3 linked regions of the Bombyx mori genome follow. Each later gene encodes a partner of the first gene's protein in a complex. Links are inferred from orthologs where the notes say so. Each region holds a gene or a part of one and is shown in the gene's direction. Other genes may lie near its edges.

Region 1 (6,890 bases):
ATGTAATTTTTAAAGTGATAACATGTTTAATTGTAGAGCCTATGATAATTACCCTCTTGGGGGTAAAAAAGTTACTAACTACTCTGCTAGAGTGATAACATATTTTTTGCTTTGTAGGCAGATATATAGCCCATCCACCAGATAGATATCATATCACCATAGATATTTGTGATTGTATAGAGATTGTATATATATTGAGAAAGATTGTATGTAGATAGTATAGAGATTGTATTTGACTGTAGATCTTCATTAAAACATCACCAAATTAAATGGGGGCACCACCATAAAATCATCAAATATGATGCTCGTTTTTGAAAGATGGTGACAGTTTTCTTTTGTACATTTTACATTAACAAAATATCATGATGATATAATAATAATTCATATAGTCAAAATCAATTAAATATGCATTATTGGGGATAGCTTAAAAACTGCTGATCAGATCTTGAGAAAATTTAAATGTGACCACATAATACAGCTTTCAAATAAGACAATCGGTTCACTCGGAATAAAGTTATGACATAACATTTATAAAACAATCAAATTGAGAACCTCTTTTTTTTTGAAGTTGGTTTAAAAAGAGAAAAAATTAGGAAAAACTTTTACTTTTGGTAATAGAACTTGTTAGTTAATTTGATACTGAATACTTTGCAACTTCAATCTAAGCAATTATTTTCTCATTTGTAAAATATTCCTTTCAAAACATGATTTAAGTATTTAAGTAACTAATAAATAATAATCGATTAAGTAGTAGTAGTATACCTATATCGTAGTTAAGGCAGAAGAAATTCAATGCTAATTTAGAATAACCTTGAAGATATTAGAAAAAAGAACAAAGTCCATTTCCAGTTGTTTACACAGTAAAATGTACTTGTAATGGAAACCTTTGGTTTTAAATTTTAAGGTTAAAAAAGACGTTGATTAGTTACAACTTGAATTCCTGTGCTAAAGAACCCTTTATTCATAATTATTCAACTACAGATTTACGCTACAGCAGGAAAATTACGTATGACGTATATACAAAATCATAAGACAAAAATAAAATTTGAATGAATTTATGAATTGAAAAACACCAATTAGTTAACTAACTTAGTTCGGATAATTGTGGCGTGCTTTATTTACCTTTTTCATCCAATTGCAGTTGTGTTTTTACATATTCTGTTGGGAATGTAATACAAATTTCAATGCCTCCTGTAATTCCGCCGGCTACAACTCCCTTTAAGCCTACTGAACCCGAACCACCAGCCGCAGCCGCTGCACCTGTCTCCGACATCCACGGTCTGGAGAATGGGTTTTTGAATGTTCCTTGCCGTGAAGACATGGTCTCTTTTTTCGAGCACTTTTGAAATTCGCAACGACTGCGACGACACTCCCCTACGACATTTAATTTCAGACTAAAAATTTAGGTTATATTAGTTATATACAATCATACTCTATGCTAACAATATGTGTTTGTGTATAGTCTATGAACTAAATTACTTTTTGGCGGGAACGCGAGGAGTGAAGTTGTGTGATTTGTTTTATTTTGTCTATTTAGTGTTTCTTCAGGTTTAAATGTGTAATAACGGTGGTTTATTAACTGTTTAATATCTGTGAAAGTGCACAAATGTGGGAAAATGAAACAAAGCTGCTGGACGTAACTTCTCGGGTTCCTCCAAAAAGTCCACTGAAAAAATCTCAGTAAATGACCACCATTTTACTGCGATTATATTTCATCCCATATCATCTCATTTCATTAAATTCATCCCAGTTGATTAATGTCTCAAATTAATCATCTTCATTTCATTTCACTCCATATTATCATTTTTCATAAAATTAAGACTATAAAGTAAAATAAGACATGACTTAAAGGTCTTAGTTACCAGGTCATAAAATCTCTTAAAAAAAAAAAAATCAATTAAAATAGGACTTTTTGGCGGGAACGCGAGGAGTGAAGTTGTGTGATTTGTTTTATTTTGTCTATTTAGTGTTTCTTCAGGTTTAAATGTGTAATAACGGTGGTTTATTAACTGTTTAATATCTGTGAAAGTGCACAAATGTGGGAAAATGAAACAAAGCTGCTGGACGTAACTTCTCGGGTCCCTCCAAAAAGTCCATTGAAAAAATCTCAGTAAATGACCACCATTTTACTACGATTGTATTTCATCCCATATCATCTCATTTCATTAAATTTCATCCCAGTTGATTAATGTCTCAAATTAATCATCTTCATTTCATTTCACTCCATATTATCATTTTTCATAAAATTAAGAATATAAAGTAAAATAAGACATGACTTAAAGGTCTTAGATACCAGGTCATAAAATCTCTTAAAAAAAATCAAATAAAATGTTTTTTTATTTTATGACTTGGTAGCCTAGACCTTTAAGTCATTATCTTATTTTAATCTTCTTATTCTAATTTATATCTTATTATAATTTATATTCTTATTTTTATGAAAACTGATAATATGGAGTGAAATGAAATGAAATGAAATGAAGATGTCAAGAATGTCTCAAATTAATTTAAATTAATATTTGAGACATATATTAAAGGGATCAACTGGGATGAAATTAAAGGAAATAAGATGAGACGGGATGAAATATAATCTCAGTAAAATGATGGTCATTCACTGAGATTTTTTCAGTGGACTTTTGGGTGAATCCCAAGAAGTTACGTCCAGTAGCTTTCCAAAATAATATATGACTTAAAGGTGTACGTTACCAGGTCATAAAATTAAAAAAATAATTGGATACATATATACATATTCACAGAAACGATTTATAAATTTTACCCTTACCAAATTAACATTACAATTCTTGAAGTAAATGTAATTATTTTATCAAAGGAACAACACAACTACAAAAATGGCCTTACGTACGTACGGCGATAAGCCGATAAGTTTTCAAATCGAAGAAGGAGGAGACTTTTATTGTGTTGGCTCAGAGGTAAGTTCCATACATTTCTTGATTAAAAATACATCGAACTACTCGAAACATAATTTTAAAGATACGTTATTAAAAATTATTTCATTCACTAACGGAGCTAGTCTTTCTTTTGTCGAAGAACATCGTTCCTAACCTCAATCTGGTCTATTATACAAACTTGCCTTTTAGAATTATTCTTATTTCGATGAGGCTTGGTTTCCATTACTGTAAAGCAGACTATAGTTTATTGTCCATCAAAGTATAAGATAAAAAATAGAACAATAGGTCTATATCACCCTTATGAAAATGGAATACAAATTTTGGAGATAAAATAACTAAGGAATTTCTGTAGAAGGCAAAACTGAGCTGTAATAATTATGTTGCCCTTTAATGACAATTCTTTAAAACTCATTTTCTTAGCAATAATCGAGTAAGTAATCCAGTAAACAGATCCATATTTAACAAAATCCCAAATACATATACATGTACAATAACATCATTAGCTAAGAAACCTAAGATTTTAGTTAAAGAGATACAAATCATGAAAGTTTACCAGTCCATTTTAACTACTGGCTTAAGATACCATACTGTACTTTTTATCTTTTTTCTGTATCTAGTTGCATAATTCAGTGTTCATGTGAAGTTTCTCACTATAATCTTCTATTCTACAGTAGAACTTTCTAAAGCGCCATTATGAATTATATTGAATAAGTAAACGACAGTGATTGCTTGCAGTGCAAATTAAAACAAGTTGTGGCACCCAATGCTGTTTCTGCTCTTATTTTTTTAGATGAGCAATGATGTATTTTCTTCAGTGTTTCTGAATTGTATAAAAAAAGGTCTAATTTCATATTTATTATATTCATTTCATTATCATTTTTCATGGCATATTAACACTGTTCTAACTACTGTAAATTGTTATGACAAAAAATTTAAATGATTAAACAATAACAGTGGTTTTAATTAAAAGCAATGCAAAATTATATTGTGGTGTCGAAAACAGCAGTTTTAACTTGAGATTTCCAGATTTTGTATTTTGATTAGTCTTATGCCCGCTTAAAAATGCAAAAAAATTAACTATTGCCTTAGGTCGGGAATTACCTGCGCTTGTTCCGTGGGTCACTCTACAAGAAGTACCCTGGCATGTGCCGGCGTACCCTCACCAATGAAGAACGTAAGCGATTAATTGACAACGGTCTTGGTCCTCATGTGCTGTCCAGTTCAGTTTCACTGTTGAAGGCGTCAGAAGTTGAAGACATTATTGAAGGGAATGATGATAAGTACGTCATTATAAACATTTTGTGAACTATTGAAAGCGGTTAAAACCGACAATTGCTGTGTTAGCATAGACAGGTGAACGAGTTCATAATCCATCTGATGATAAGTGAAGCTACCTGAAGTAGTCAGTCGAAATATTAGACCTTTAAGTTTTGGTGAGCACCTGGCACTATTGAAGTCCACGAACGACATTAACCACTTACCATCAGAAGAATTGTATGTTTGTCTTATTTTAAGGACAATAAAAAAAAAAACAAAATGTGTGCATATCTTTCTTCTTCATCGCTCCCTCATTGCTGAGGATTGTGACTCTGTTTCAGCTGTGCCAGTCTCCATCGGTTCTGGTCAGTTGCTGTGTGCATATCAAGGAAATCTTAAATACTATGAATTGTATATGAAACAGCAGTTGTCCATTAAACTATTTACAGCTATGACACAGCTTTAAATTAATTTATAGATACAAAGCAGTGTCCGTCAGCCAAGAGTTGGCGACACCCCGTGAGAGCAAAAGCAAGAAGCCACACACTCCATCATGGCTGCCAGTCATGCCAAACTCTTCTCATTTGGATGCTGTACCCCAGGCTACTCCAATCAGCAGGAGTAGGGTGCATAATAAGAAGGTAAAATGGATGTTAAAGTCAAAACTTAAAGTCCAGTTGGGCTTCAGGTTCTGACTCCTAGGTTTATCTAGTTAATCATGTTTGACATGGGGCCACACTCTAAGGTCAACACAACACATTTAATTTAGCTTCTGATTCAGGATAGATAGATAAGATAGATAGAATATCTCAAAATCAGAGACACATCGTAAGATAAATAACAGATTTTGAAATGGAACATTGGAATTAATGTAATATACTATAGTTCTAAAGTATCATTATTAAAACTAGCATAAAATGAATACTTTTCAGGTGAGAACATTCCCACTGTGTTTCGATGACACAGACATGACTGCAATGCTGGAGAATGCTTCGCAAAAGCAGGTGCTTGTACCGATTCGATTGGACATGGAGATTGAGGGTCAAAAACTCAGGGATACATTTACATGGAATAAAAATGGTATGTTTAACTGCATTTGTTACCAATTCTGGTTGTTTATTCTCAATTTTTGATTTCAGAAAGTATTTGAATAATAGAATGTGTAATTGCTGTCTACCAAATTATAAATAGATTGGCTGTATTTACTGTGAATTGTATCGACTGTCAATTGAAAATATATAATAACATTTTCTTATATCTTTAACTATAACTATTCTTTATAAAGTTCTTTAATCATGCTTAATGAAAATTGTTGGTCTGCAGTAAGTGTTGAAGATCAGGAGGACCTTGTCCAACTGTCTTGGATCACAGAACAGTTCCAATGCGCCCTGCAAATTTGGTTAAAATATTTTTAATGTTTTATCGTTTTCATTCTATATTGTTCTTTTAGCACAACCCTTACATAAATTTAGGAATACGCTCCTTAATTTTTATATCCATAATGTGTATGTTCCCACTTTTTTTTCCTGCCTAAGCTGATAGCCTTGAGAGGCTATATCAGCGTTGCCTTAACTAGTAGGTGAGCTCACGGGGCTCAAACGTGATGACGTTGTTAACACGAACGCTAGCAAGAGCCGTGTGCTTCGCAGAATCTACCACCAGATCGGAAACGCGACCCACTGAGAAGATCCGGCGAGAAACTCAGTGGGCTGTGTCTGAGGCTTTTTCTCACAAGGATTGCAGGCAGCCTATTAACAAGTTTTTGAATAAATAAAAAATTGGAGGATTGTTTTCCAGAATCAATAATAACACCAGAACAGTTTGCCGAGGTGCTGTGCGATGATTTAGAGTTGAACACGAGCACCTTCATACCTGCTGTGGCCTCCTCGATCCGGCAACAGATCGATGCCTTCCCGAGCGAGCCTCCCCCCATACTGGAGGAGCATACCGACCAGAGGGTCCTCGTCAAACTCAATATACACGTTGGAAACACTTCGTTGGTAGATCAGGTAGGTTCAAGTTACAAAGAAAACTCAAATAATTAATATAGAAGATGTAATTGACATGTGTAATAAGTAGAGGTCGGAGTAGGTAGATTGATTTAAGGTCGTTGACGTCAAACGTAGAAGATAATATGGATACGCCTCCAAAATACCGGAACTTCATATTTATTGTGATATTTGTTCCGGAATTTTGAAATTAGCTGGAATCTGTGTTTGAGGTGAAAAACGCGTTAATAATATTAATCTACGCTACCAGTTGTGGCGGGTAGCCATCATACAACGCAAGATAATTGACAGATGCCTGAATCTCGCTTACGACATTTTCAAGATAAAGCGCATATATACAAGTTCCGAACAACAACATTTGGACCGTCGGTCTACCGAGCAATATCATCTGCTCGGTGGAAGATCTTCCCTTTGTCGTATATATCCCTACACAGTCTTAGCTAATGGTGAAAGAAATCTGTATTTTATTTTATACAAAAACACCTTGGAATATATTTTGTCCCTTTCTGTTGACTTAGAAATGACGCTTGTCAGTATGAGACAAAATTTAGACAGGGCTTTTTGTTACTTTATCTCATAAATAAAGAAATTGTATCCGATGAGGCTTAAAAATGTTTTTTTTTCCATTAAAAAAAAAACCATTATGGATAAAATGACATGTCCATATTGTAATATCTTGACACAAGTATATAAAATCAATCTACCTACTCCAACCACT
Region 2 (6,890 bases), on another chromosome or scaffold:
TGGTTCGCGAATGAATCTACCACCGGATCGGAATCGCGACCCACTGAGAAGATCCGTCGAGAAACTCAGCGGGCTGATGTTTAGGTTAGGTTGCACGTCGAACTCTTGGCCGAGTTTAACGAGTACGGTTACCGGAATTTCTACTCCTAGTGTTAGAACTAAAGGTGTCTAATGCAAGAGTTATTGGATCTGATGGATCCGTAAGGACATGAACGTTCTCTTTCCATCGTGGAAGTCATACGTAGACATTATACCTACTCGTATAAGTGTGAATACATACGTACGTATGTTACAAAAATTGTTATCTTCCTCTGGGCATTTAACAACAGTATAGTCGTATTGCTCGATATGAGTTAATCGGGCGTCTTATTCTTAAGGCCACAATGACACTCGATCTCGGGAACTGCATATATAGGGGTAACTGTTATATACTATGAATATGAACTGTACCTTCACCGGGGTGTGGAAAGAAGAAAACGTTATCAGCATTCATGGGTCTGATAAAACAAAAGACCGCGTCTTAGGCAGTAGGCTACCATCCGATTATGTTTTATTGCCTTGCCTCTTCATGTCCCAAGATAAATTGTACGGGCATCTGCTCTGCAAGTGTCACGGAGATTTGTCTTCTCCGAGGGCATCCTTTTATCTTCAACCAGCTTGGATTCCATTCTAAACACTCATGCACACAATAAGCGCACGCTTCACGGAGCACATACCATTAGGGCTTAGCGTTTAGAATGAGGTAGGCATTTAGTTTTTATAGCCACCCACCTTGAGATATAGGTTCTAAGTTCTCAGTATAGTTACAACGGCTGCCCCACCCTTCAAACCGAAACGCATTACTGCTTCACGGCAGAAATAGGCAGGGCGGTGGTACCTACCCGCACGGACTTACAAGAGGTCCTACCACCAGTAAAAGTAGTTATAACAATGTTGCATGATTAAATTCACTCAAGATGAAAATGTCTTTAATAGCCTCTAGATAATAAGGAGCCTCTAGGATCTTAATAACGAGTTTTTAGTTAAAATACGTTTAGATTTAGTCTTATAATGGAAACGTTAAAAAAGCGATTGATTTATGTAGATTATGTAAATCGTTACCAGTTTTCCATCGATGGACGTCGCCAACGATCTACCTCGTGTGTGCTTAGTGCGAGGGTTTTAACTGCTCGATCGCGTAGAAATTAAATCAAATTTGTATGGAGTTGGAACAGCTTCCCTTCGTACGCCGCCTCTAGCGAAGAAGAACTGAAGACAGAGCCGAGTTGGACCATCTGAATTAAAACAATAGTACACAATTATATAATTGGGCTGTGAGGTCGTCCACCCATCTAAGCAATAAAAAAAACCACAGTCTCGATCAGCGTGTTTGTCCCGCACTAGTGAATCTGAATACTCTGTTTCCAAAGCCGCAGACATAAGTCATACACAATACGTAGCCTTAGTTTATACATGTACAGATAGGCTCAAACAATGAAACCTGGTAACATGACAATTAGCATTATTATCATCTACTAATTTCGCAATGTCAAGCCACACCTATCTCGGAATAATATTAAAAGGTACCCTAGCTTCATATGCTAGATAGCTTTTATCGAATCCATGAATGCTCACTTGCACTCCGCCCATAGTCAAAACAGCCCTTCGTTGTGAATGAGTTTATATGACCATTGCATGTATTTATAATGTATTTTGGTGTGACTTAAATAACATTTAATTTTTTAATAAATTAATTTAAAAATTTGTTCAGTGCGCTTTGAAGAAACTAACTGCATTCTAGCAGTTATTATCTTTATGTATTTACCATTAGCGTAGGTATTGCTCTAATGTAAATTGTGTGTGACGATAGCAACAATAATCATCAAGGGCGTTATTTGCAAGTAAAAAAAAAGAAGACAATGTAACGTTTTTTCATAACAACAACGCGATCCGATTACCCCCTTTATCGTGTATCGTTGTGTTGGCATTTTATCTTCCAAACCAGCTTCTTTCTTCTTCTTCTTTTTTTTTTAAATCTGACATTTGTTTTCTTAATGTTTATTTATGGCCAATAGTTACATTCTCTTTTATCTTAGTTTAATTTAAAAGATTTCTACATACAGAGTATATAAAAGCTTCTATTATTCCGTTATATGAAAAATGCTGTGCGATATGAGATTAACTTCATTAATTTGAGTCTTCAATCAATTGGGATGAAATTAAAAGAGACGACATGAAATGGGATAAAAAAAAGTAAAGTCTCCGTAAAATACAGTTTTTTTAGGATTGAGAGATTACTGGTGGCCCGGAGGCCTTTTCAATTTCGCCAGGACAGATCGGCGAGCAAACACTCAGCCAGGATTTGCTAACAACTGCCCGAGCGCCTCCAAAGAGACCTAACAACCCACGAGCAGCAAAATAGTGGTTATTTACTGAAAGTTCGGTGGATTTTTTCGAAAAACCAGAGATGCCACGTTCGGTGGCTTGTGTTTAATTTTCCCACATTTGTACATACACTTTCACTAATGCCAAATAGTTAACAAATCACAATTTTTACACAATTAAACGCGAAGAGATCCAAAATCAACATTTTAAAACGACCTTAGAATGAACGTACAATTTAATAATCGACTAACAAAACTATGTGTTACATTTGATACCATAAATTGCTCTACTCTAATCTACGTTGACAACGTCAATTGTCATTTGGTTCAATTAAATTAAAAATGGAATGAAAGATGGAGATTGAAATAGGCCCGTTAGTATTTTAATGAAAAAGACGCGTTGCCATTATCGAGCCTTTTAAAAATTAAACCAAGCTTGAACTTTCAATAAAAGCGATAAGGTAGTACGATACATCATTTATTAAGTTTTAACTTACTTTACTCTTTGGTTTTTACTAAATAAGTAAGTAAGTAATATGGTTGCATAAAACTTTATTTTTATAAACAATGTATCTTGATAGCGGATTTGTTCGTATTACAACAAAAAAGTAAACAGACTTACAAAATAATTGTTGCATTATTTCCAAGCAATTTCATTCAAAAAAATTAAACATTTTAAGTTATCTTTAAATTCAAATACATCCGTACTGTTGGCATTTTCATTAAGATGTTTAACAATGCAAACACAGCGTGATCATAGCCTCTTTATATTAGCCTATCCAAATAAGACTCCAATTTAATCATTTGTAATATTAGTCATTCAGCCTCCCTTCAACAAAGTGGTTATAAAATGAAGCGAATAAAAAAGAACTGACTTTCAATATCGACGTCGTCTCTTGTTTTTTTCAGTTTTGTGATTTCCACCTATAACATTTTAATTAAAAGTATTAAGTACAGATTAAGGATATATTTTTGTTTGTTTTCCCAAACACCTTATGTAGACTAGAAATCATTAAATGAAACTTAATAAAATGCAAACGAGGGGATTGAAATTAAATTGCCATAACTGCAATACATTTTTTAAATAATCCCCATTATACAGCTGGTGTTCTTTCTGTAATTATATACATCCCAAAAATTTGAACAAGAAGTGCTTGTGAAGTAGTTTCACCAGTATTGAGTTTGTAATGGTGTGAGACTTGTTTTATAAAATGTATAATATGACTATGACACTAGCTCATAAACTATGAGTACAAAAAATAAAGAATGATAAGCCAATAAATATGCTTGTTTTGGAATAAATTCAAAATTTGGTTTCAGGTGTGCCAATGGCTACACAAAACAATTACAAACAAAACACTTCGATGTCAATGCCCAGTCCTCAGAGCAATCCGCGTTTGTATTACCAACTATAATCACAAAAAATTTAAATATATATTTTATTAAATTTTAAATATTATTAATGTAGTGAATGTTGACTGCCATTGAATTTGTAATGATATGTTCTAAACAGCTAATTTTATTTAAAAACTAGATAATACTAATCTTTTAAAAATGTTTCCTTTTATATAAACTTTGTTGGATTTTCTCTTAATTTAAGTCTGATCTGATTTAAATGTTTCCTGAGACCTCTTCATATTTACATTGATATGCTGTGAGTTTTCTTGCAGCAAAATAATGGAGGGACAAGATGGCAATCAACACATTACACTGTATATTTTAAATTATAAATTAGTAAGAAATAAGTTAGTAATAAGCTAATGTAATGATAGCAGTGCTAATTACGTTTAGATTTTTTTAATAAAATATTAATGGCAATAGTTATAGTATTTTATCAAATAGATTGTTTATTGTTAGTAAGAATGTTGTTAGATACTAACTTCATTAACATGTGAAGTTGTCGCCATTGCAAGCTTGGCAGTGCTGAGAACTGTACCTGATATAGCTGGTATCTAACTGCATTTAAACTTTTTACTTAGAGCATGACTCCCATATCTTAGCTTTTAAGCTACAGTAACAAAACTTATTTTTTTCTTACTTTAATTTTATCCTAATGCATTTTAGACTTACATTCCATTATGTTGGTTTTGTTTCATGTTTTGTTATAATGATACAGACTACATGATTGCGGGCCCCCCAATGAGTTTCGGCATGATGAAAGGTAATGCCACAATCTAAATTGACTTTCTATTCAAAATTTTGTATCACACACCCATTTTCGTTTCAAAACTTAGGTATTTCTGTGGGGTTATTAAAAAAGATAATTGCACAAAATTTTTCTCTTCTCTCAACGACACAAGCCATCACCTCTTTAGTCTTTCGCTAATTAAAGCCTACTAAAAAATTTACAGCTAGATTGCTCGCAAATAACTTTCTTAACGTTTATTTTTTAATTTTTCTAGATGTTTTAGTGCATATTTGAATTTTTGTTGGCTCCCCTCCCGTCCTGCTCCTTTACGCTTTTTGTTTTTTTTTTCTTTCATTGTATTGCCGCCCGCTGCTTGGCTTGAAGGCGGTATGAATGCACCGTCGCCGCACCATAACCAATATCAGTACCACCCGCAATACCAAGGTGGGGGGGGCATGGTTCACCCGGGTCCCCCGGGGGGCTACGGCCCGTGGCACGCCCCCCAGCAACAGGGCCGTTTCGCTGCAGAGGGCGCCCGCCGCGCGGCCTCCGCCTCACAGCCCTCACAAGGTGCCAAAGATGATAAGACAAGTCCATTTGTATCCACCGTACATTCACATCCTGGATTCCAACCTCAGAAAATCGGGAAAGGTGCTGGTGTTGTAAGTATAATCTGTATCACTATTTGTTACTGTATTCAAAATACACTTTACATTAATACAAAAAGCCACAAATACCAAAAACTGTCTTAACTTATAAAATTTTTGTTTCCTATATAACAAACCATATTTATTACTACCCCAGGGAGCCGGACTACCAAAGCCACCAAAACCTCCAGAAAAACCTCTCATGCCGTACATGAGGTACTCACGCCGTGTATGGGACAGTGTAAAAGCAGCACATCCAGACCTCAAACTATGGGAAATTGGACGTATAATAGGCGGCATGTGGAGGGACCTGCCTGAATCTGAGAAAGCTGGGTTTGTCGATGAATATGAAGCTGAAAAGGTATGAGAGGCTGTCTGCTGATGCAAAATCTATACTTCTATACTTAATATACACTACAGTGGTTTTTACGGATGTTCCATTATAACTACTGAACCATGCATCCGATTGACTTGAAACTTAGTATCCATGTAGAAAATACATGTACTTAATAGATGGGCTAATATTTATATGAGTGTTGGACTCCCTACACCAGTTGTGGGGGTGTTGACGATGAGAATCTTTATGGGGGTGAGAAATAATAATGTTTATTTTAAATGCCCAGAGAAGCAGACGGGCACAGCTAGTAACATATAAAAATGCTTAAAGAAACAAATTGCAATTTCTGTGTACAATTATACATTTAAAATAATGTTTTTTATTTATTTTATTAACTATTGCTGCTAAATACTGAGAGCAAGTATTGGATCTCTATGATGTAAACGAAACTCTCAGCCCATAGATATGATAGATGTATGTAAAGACAGATAATATAAAGTAAAACATTTGAATTCAGGCGCAGTATACAGAATTGTTGAAAGCTTACCAATCATCACCTGCGTACTTACAGTGGCTGGCCCACAAAAACCGAGGTATTGTGCCTCATAAACTGAACATAAGGGCATTGTGTACACAGCATCACAACCAAAGCTTGATTTAACACCAAAGTTTAGCTGGGTTTTCTCGAAATTACTGTTTATATGTGTTTATGGAAACGCTTCAACAAAAGTAGGAGATAATCTTTAATGTGATTTATTTACGTACATGTGAGTCTCATATTTTGATACTTGCATGGTAAAAAAGAAGTAAACACATTTAAACAGTTGAATGTTTGTATTCATATGTATTGTTCCCATTTTAAAAATAATAATATCACACTGAATTTCTTTAGCCGTTGACTTTGGTCAGTATAAAAAATACATGTACTAAAAGATATTAAGAAATTCAGCATTGTCATTGTATACAATACATTATGTTGATAAGCATATATTTGAATGATGGAAATTAATTGACTTAAAAAAATATATGAAAGCTTAAAGTTAGAGATGATTTATTTAAAAAAAAAATTTACAGCTTTGAAAAAAGGGAAGCAGCTTCGCTTATAACTCCAAGAAGATCTCTAATAGACTGATATTTATTCATAATATTAAAGTCACTTGATTTCCATCTGCACATTGTGACTAACACCGATACACCACATTTTAAGGGTATATTTGTTCACATGCACCATCCATATAATCGCACGTTCGGGGCGCACTTGTCACACGAAACGACACTAGTCCGAATATGAGAAAAGCTTGAAGGCGTACCACAATTCTCCCGCGTACCTCGCTTACATTGCAGCCAAAAATAAAGCCGTAGGTAAGGGGATGCATGATTTAACTGATTATAGTTTTTTGAATCGGCTTTGATGT
Region 3 (6,790 bases), on another chromosome or scaffold:
ATATAAGGACTCTGTAAAATTGCAACGGTATGTGATTTGTATATAATAATAGTAATTAAGAGTTCGTCTGATTTTATGACAGCGTACTCGTTGTTTTGACAATTTCGGCACTTTCTGTCTCAATTGGCAGAAGATTGTATGAACATTTCTAAAATCAAGATGAATTTAGCAAATAAGTAAAGAAACTTGAAACTCTTATGCTCAAAATTAAAAAAAAACTGTATGGTTAGCAATACAATATCTTATGATAATAAAATTGGTAACTATTTCAGAGGGCTGTGTATTTACTATGCATGTAAGATCGCACAAAACTTGGAGTAATTTTTCCTTACATAGTTTTGTGAAAAATTTCAGAGAATTTGTTTTGTAACTTTTTTTTTATTATTTTCTAATAACTAGTTTGACTTTCAACAATAATAAAAAAAAACCAAAGAATATAAATAAGTAAAATTCCTGCCCGGCGGATTTCCACCTACCTCCAGGGGTGTAGTCTGGCCCCATTCCCCGACTACTAAAAGATCCTCCAACAGTAATAATTGATACACGCTATTATCATTGAAATTTAAAAGTGAAATATTTTACTTAAAGCTTAATGCAACAACGTGTCCAAGAACTCCTGGATATAGTTCAGTCATCATCGAGTGATGATGAAAGCCTGTCTTCAGTAAAGAATCAAACTCAAGTGCAGACTCCACGGCCAAGAGGTAAGCCATATTCAAATTAAATACATAAATAAACGATGTGTGGTGTCGTGGGACACCGGATAGGAACGAAGTTCCTTATTATAAAAATATTAATTTTAAATTCTATTCGAGGTATAAAGAAAATAAAACTGGAGGTTTCGCAACAACTCAGGGTCATTCGGTAACGTGCGAACTTATTGTGGTACACTTCATTCACGGTTGTTTGCATAAGAGTAAGTGTATTGCGCAAACGAACGCTCTGAGATCGTGGTCAATGAATGATAAAAAAATATGTTATTTTTTGTACGTTATTACAAAGTTAAGTCGTACACTGTATGCATTACTAATAAAAAATATTACGTTACGAACGTTTTTTCCCGGTTAGGGTGCCCATCGGCATCGTTCCATAAGGAAGTTCGTTCCAAAGATAAATAAAAGAAATGTCGTTAAATTGTAGTGCTTGCTCAAATGGTGAGTAAACAAAATGTCCAGGTCGTCCGCGCATCAACCCGCTGCCCGCGCCCGCCCCGCCGCCCGCCGCCGCGCCGCTCGTGCTGAAGCCGAACATGCCGCTGAAGAAGAAGCTGCACTACGTGGCCAAGCAGCTGGTCGAGTTCACGTGCTCCGACGGCCGCCAGCCGATGCTGCTGTTCATGGAAAAGCCCAGCAAGAAACTGTATCCGGAATATTACAACGTCATCGATCGGCCCATCGATATGCTGACGATTGAAGCTAACATTAAGGTACGTTTTTATTATTTATTGTTTATATGGGTAGACGAGCTCACAGCGCACCTGGTGTTAAGTGGTTACTGGAGCCCATAGACATGTACAACGTAAATGCGCCACCCACCTTGAGATATAAGTTTAAGGTCTCAGTATAGTCACAACGGCTATAGACTATAGTTACAAGGGTGGGGCCCTTCAAACCGAAACGCATTACAGATTCACCGCAGAAAAAGTCAGGATGGTGGTACCTACCCGTGCGGATTCACAAGAGGTCCTACCACCAGTAATTATGCAAATTATAATTTTGCGGTATTGATTTTTATTACACGATGTTATTCCTTCACCGTGGAAGTCTATCGTGAACATTTGTCAAGTACGTATTTCATTAAAAAAATTGGTACCCGCCTGAGATTCGAACACCGGTGCATCGTTGGATACGAATGCACTGGACGTCTTATCCTTTAGGCCATGACGACTTCGATATCGTTGTATGTCGACTACATGTGCTATACTATAGCACATGTAGTCAAATTTAATATGCAAAGTTGTTTGGATGTGGCTACATTATTAGACAGAAATCCTCATTTAGCAAAAAATCCACTGCAAAGAATAATATTATTAAAAGAAAATAAAGTTTTTATCGTTTTTTCTTCTTTATTTGTCACCTATGAAATACTTGCAAGGTGTACTCTTTTTAAACAAAAAATAGTTGGTCACCATAGCTATACCAACATTATCCACTGTTCCCCAAGATATTTATATTCACGAATAGTTTTGAATGTTGTGTAAGAAGAAACAAAACACTCAGAAATACACATTGTCTAAATTGAACCATTAAGCGGATAACGCAAAAACGCGGATTTTCTTTACGTTAAATAAACTTACTGTCTTGTTACTGCACTATGTGATTTCTGAAAAACTATTATCTCCTTTAGTGTCTCTTTCTTCCTTTTCTCGTTCTCAACGTTTTGAGTTATTATTAAAACTGATTAAAACAAATCGCCAACAGAACGATCGTTATAATTCACTAGAAGAGATGATAGCGGACTTCCGTTTGATGTTCTCAAACTGCCGCCATTTCAACGAAGAGGGCTCTATGGTATACGAGGACGCGAACCTTCTAGAACGGGTCATGAACGAAAAGATAAAGGAATTGAACAGCAATTACGAGAAAAAGACGCCCATGAAGAGTCTGAAGGCTCAGCCAAGGTCGAGGCAACTGTCGCCGTTCGAACAGAAGCTGAGAACGTTGTATGACGCTATCCGGGACTATAGGGATCCAAAAGGTGAGATGACCGTTTATTTTTTTTTTATTTTTTATTTTTTTATTGCTTAGATGGGTGGACGAGCTCACAGCCCACCTGATGTTAAGTGGTTACTGGAGCCCATAGACATCTACAACGTAAATGCGCCACCCACCTTGAGATATAAGTTCTAAGGTCTCAGTATAGTTACAACGGCTACCCCACCCTTCGAACCGAAACGCATTACTGCTTCACGGCGGAAATAGGCGGGGTGGTGGTACCTACCCGTGCGGACTCCCAAGAGGTCCTACCACCAGTGATTATGCAAATTCTAATTTTGCGGGTTTGATTTTTATTACACGATGTTATTCCTTCACCGTGGAAGTCAATCGTGAACATTTGTTGAGTACGTATTTCATTAGAAAAATTGGTACCCGCCTGCGGGATTCGAACACCGGTGCATCGCTACACACGAATGCACCGGACGTCTTATCCTTTAGGCCACGACGACTTTTTTTATTGCCCTTGTAGGCAGACGAGCGCACGGCCCACCTGATGGTGAGTGGTTACCGTTGCCCATGGACTTCAGCAATGCCAGGGGCAGAGCCAAGCCGCTGCCTACCGCTTAATAATCTCCACAAGCCTCGTTTGAAGAAGGACATGTCATAGCGCTCGGGAAACACCGTGGAGGGGAGCTCATTCCATTGCCGGAATTTTAATTTAATTTTAGTGCTTCAAGTAGGTAGACGAACTCACCAACTTGCTGCGAAGTGCCAATAAATAAATTCTTCCTGTTCCACCATTCATCCGTTTAAAAAAAGTGGTCTCTGTGATTACAGCCAACCGCCAGCTGGCCCTGATCTTCATGAAGCTACCCAGTAAAACTGAGTACCCTGATTATTATGAGCTCATCAAGAACCCGATAGACATGGAGAAGATTGCTCACAAATTGAAGAGCAACAGTTACAGTTCAGTTAACGAGCTGGCTTCGGATTTCATACTGATGTTCGATAACGCCTGCAAGTACAATGAGCCCGACTCGCAGATCTACAAGGACGCTTTGATACTGCACAGAGTCTGTCTGCAGACCAAGCAGATGTTAAGGTAAAGTCTTATAAGTTTTAGCAATTAGTAAGCTTCATGATTAACGTACCTAGGTATGTCGAATTTATACTGCCAAATTGAATAAATCAAAGTTATAAAAGGGAGTAACATAATAACGTTTCATATATAGACACTAGACTGTGCCAGCGGCTTCTTTCACTTTTACATTTATAATATTAAACTACGCAGAGTGCACCTACATGAAAAACATACATTTTTTTCCTACTTGACATTTTTTTAAGCCAGTACTTGAGTATAATGATATCCTTGTATTGAGGTAGCAAATATTTATGATTGAAAAATAGAAAAATTATTAGAGTAGACAATTATTAAGTAAAATAGGTATGTAGGCTTTTCTGTTAAATAATTTTGTTCCCTGACATGACAGCTTACTAGGGTTAACAAAATTTTTGTCTTTGATAATTAATTATATTTTTTACGGAGTATTTTGTAACACGTTGTATACATATATGAGCATTAAAACTTAAATTGAATAAATGTACAAAAATATTTCCGTCAACAGTCAAGACGACGATGCAGTGCCCGACGTTCCAGCCGCTGTCCAAGAACTATTATTGAATCTCTTTACCACAGTATACAATCATCAAGATGAAGAGGGGAGGTGAGAATAGTCGTTAAAACCAAATGTTTAATGGTAGGAAACTTGTATCGTTATATCAGATTTACTACAAAACTAAAATGATTGGGAGGAAATTCAGTACGCTGAATATTTAATCACTCATCATCTTAATTATTCTTGATCTTCTTATACATCTTCTTAATTATTTTTGACACTTTTGATAATATTTATACTGTCTTTTTTACTAATATTTTGTATATGTACATTATAAAATATATTTCATGTGTCAAATCATTTTTGTAATATTTTTGATTAATCTTCTCTATTCTGATCTGATCTTCTAAATTGCCTAAGTTCTAAATTAAATTAAGTGAATGCTTCACATTAGTGAATTATTTGAAACATTAAATTTGAAGTGATATTTTCTCAATTTGTCACTTGAACACTGATTTTTGTTTTATTTTATTGATTTTCAGTAATATTTCAGTGTAATAATGAATTCTATTTTGAAAATGTTCAGGTGTTACTCAGACAGCATGGCCGAGTTACCGGAACACGACGAAACAAACAATGGCGAGAAGATGCGAGCTATATCGCTGGATTTGGTCAAGAGAAGACTTGACAAAGGGCTGTACAAGAGACTGGATCATTTCCAGCAAGATATGTTTGCTGTGTTTGAAAGGTAATCAAGTAAAAAAAAAAGTATTAATTAATCTAATTTATCTGTAAGCTGCACCGCTCGTAACGTACTGCTGTTAAATGAACAGCGGTGTCTATAGATACCACAACATGACCGTCATTAACCTATACACATGAAGTAGAAATCTGGTTTATTGGTGGCAGCACCTCTTGTGAGTCCGCACGGGTAGGTACCACCACCCTGCCTATTTCTGCCGTGAAGCAGTAATGCGTTTCTGTTTGAAGGGTGGGGCAGCCGTTGTAACTATACTGAGACCTTAGAACATATATCTCAAGGTGTGTAGCGCATTTACATTGTTGATGTCTATGGACTCCAGTAACCACTTAACACCAGGTGGGCTGTGAGCTCGCCCACACATCTAAGCAATAAAAAAATAGCGGTGTCCACAGACATCACAACATGACCGTCACTCACCTATACACATGGAGTAGAAATCTAAACTGCATTATATACAGCCGCGCCGGACTATGAATCAGAATGCAGGCTGTTTTCGCCAGAAACAAGCAGTGGTATTGTGCTATCTAAAATCTGTTTTTGAACATTTTCGCAGAGCACGTCGCCTCTCCCGTACAGATAGTCAAATTTTCGAAGACTCAGTCGAGCTGCAGTGCTACTACATAGAGCAGAGGGACGCGCTGTGCCGCGGCACGCTGCAGTCGCCGGCGCTCACCTTCACGCGCGACACCGTCTCCACCAGCGTCGAGCTCATCAAGCAGTGCAAGCTGCTGCAAGAGAACGACGATGAGGATGAAACTAGGTAACTCCTAGTAGTTCCTGTAGCGGGCGGGGTCGTTTTTTTTTAGGAGATTTGTGACCTGGTAACTAAGACCTTTTAGTCAAGTCTTATTTTAATTTATATTCTTATTTTTATGAAAAATGATAATAGAAATTAAATTAAATGAGATGAGATGATATGGAATGAAATATAATCGCAGTAAAATGATGGTTATTTATTACTGAGATTTTTTCAGCGGGCTTTTTGGAGGATCTCGAGAAGCTACGTCCAGCGGCTTTGTTCCATTTTCCTAAATTTGTCCACTTTCACATATATTAAACAGTTAATAAACCACTAAATAGACAAAATAAAACAAAATACACAACTTCACTACTTGCGTTCCTGCCAAAAAGTCCTCGGGGTCGATCGTCTACGCACTAGCTCTACACGTCGTTATCGTAATATAATAGACTAAAAAAATATTGAAACTTATAAATTAATAATCGATTTTAAATAATTATAAATTTTGGAGAGTATTATATGGTAATATTTTATGGTAATACATAATTATAAGGTTATCTGTCGGTGCTGCCCTTCAAAAAGAATAAATGACAGTTATTGCAAATCATGAATATAGTTCTAAGTTCTTGAATGTATTATAAATATGAAATAAATAAATTGAAAAAAGAAATTTAGAAAAAAACAATTCGGTAAACATTTTTAATATCTGTTGTGAACAAGAATATTACCTAAATTGCCTAAACACATAATCTTATTAAACACAATACTTTAAAATTTACTGCTTTAATGCTTAATTGTTATTTGTATAATCAGACATTTCTGTCAGCTACTATGTAGTCTAGTCAACAAGTTCAAAAACGTGTTAAATAGACATAAAGCTCCTAAAAATATGTACGATAGCTCATTGGATGCGGAATGATGTCTACAAAAATGTTTTTAAGGGCTTTATTAGCACATAAAAAATTGCGATTGTTATAAACAAAATAAGATTTAAAAAAAAAGGAATTTGATTTTT

What was found.
Region 2: SWI/SNF-related matrix-associated actin-dependent regulator of chromatin subfamily B member 1-A (region 1) and SWI/SNF-related matrix-associated actin-dependent regulator of chromatin subfamily E member 1 share a complex: the UniProt entries of both Homo sapiens proteins name them as parts of the BAF complex. The link is inferred for Bombyx mori from reciprocal best matches to the Homo sapiens genes SMARCB1 and SMARCE1.
Region 3: SWI/SNF-related matrix-associated actin-dependent regulator of chromatin subfamily B member 1-A (region 1) and protein polybromo-1 share a complex: the UniProt entries of both Homo sapiens proteins name them as parts of the SWI/SNF-B (PBAF) chromatin remodeling complex. The link is inferred for Bombyx mori from reciprocal best matches to the Homo sapiens genes SMARCB1 and PBRM1.

What each region holds. Positions count from the first base shown.
Region 1 is NC_085122.1:12,049,785-12,056,674, reverse strand, and holds the start of SWI/SNF-related matrix-associated actin-dependent regulator of chromatin subfamily B member 1-A, read left to right. Parts: upstream 1-2,671; 5' UTR 2,672-2,846; coding exon 2,847-2,927; intron 2,928-3,995; coding exon 3,996-4,186; intron 4,187-4,641; coding exon 4,642-4,804; intron 4,805-5,095; coding exon 5,096-5,243; intron 5,244-5,960; coding exon 5,961-6,172; intron 6,173-6,890. Other genes in the region: putative tricarboxylate transport protein, mitochondrial, read right to left, coding at 1,123-1,321.
Region 2 is NC_085120.1:6,522,055-6,528,944, reverse strand, and holds the start of SWI/SNF-related matrix-associated actin-dependent regulator of chromatin subfamily E member 1, read left to right. Parts: upstream 1-2,665; 5' UTR 2,666-2,824; exon of another isoform or gene 2,825-2,886; intron 2,887-3,683; 5' UTR 3,684-3,691; coding exon 3,692-3,758; intron 3,759-4,479; coding exon 4,480-4,524; intron 4,525-4,875; coding exon 4,876-5,153; intron 5,154-5,295; coding exon 5,296-5,499; intron 5,500-5,992; coding exon of another isoform or gene 5,993-6,068; intron 6,069-6,755; coding exon 6,756-6,837; intron 6,838-6,890. UniProt on the Homo sapiens protein: Involved in transcriptional activation and repression of select genes by chromatin remodeling (alteration of DNA-nucleosome topology).
Region 3 is NC_085132.1:4,599,044-4,605,833, reverse strand, and holds part of protein polybromo-1, read left to right. Parts: coding exon 1-27; intron 28-588; coding exon 589-704; intron 705-1,175; coding exon 1,176-1,426; intron 1,427-2,420; coding exon 2,421-2,697; intron 2,698-3,494; coding exon 3,495-3,759; intron 3,760-4,282; coding exon 4,283-4,381; intron 4,382-4,859; coding exon 4,860-5,021; intron 5,022-5,589; coding exon 5,590-5,796; intron 5,797-6,790. UniProt on the Homo sapiens protein: Involved in transcriptional activation and repression of select genes by chromatin remodeling (alteration of DNA-nucleosome topology). Required for the stability of the SWI/SNF chromatin remodeling complex SWI/SNF-B (PBAF).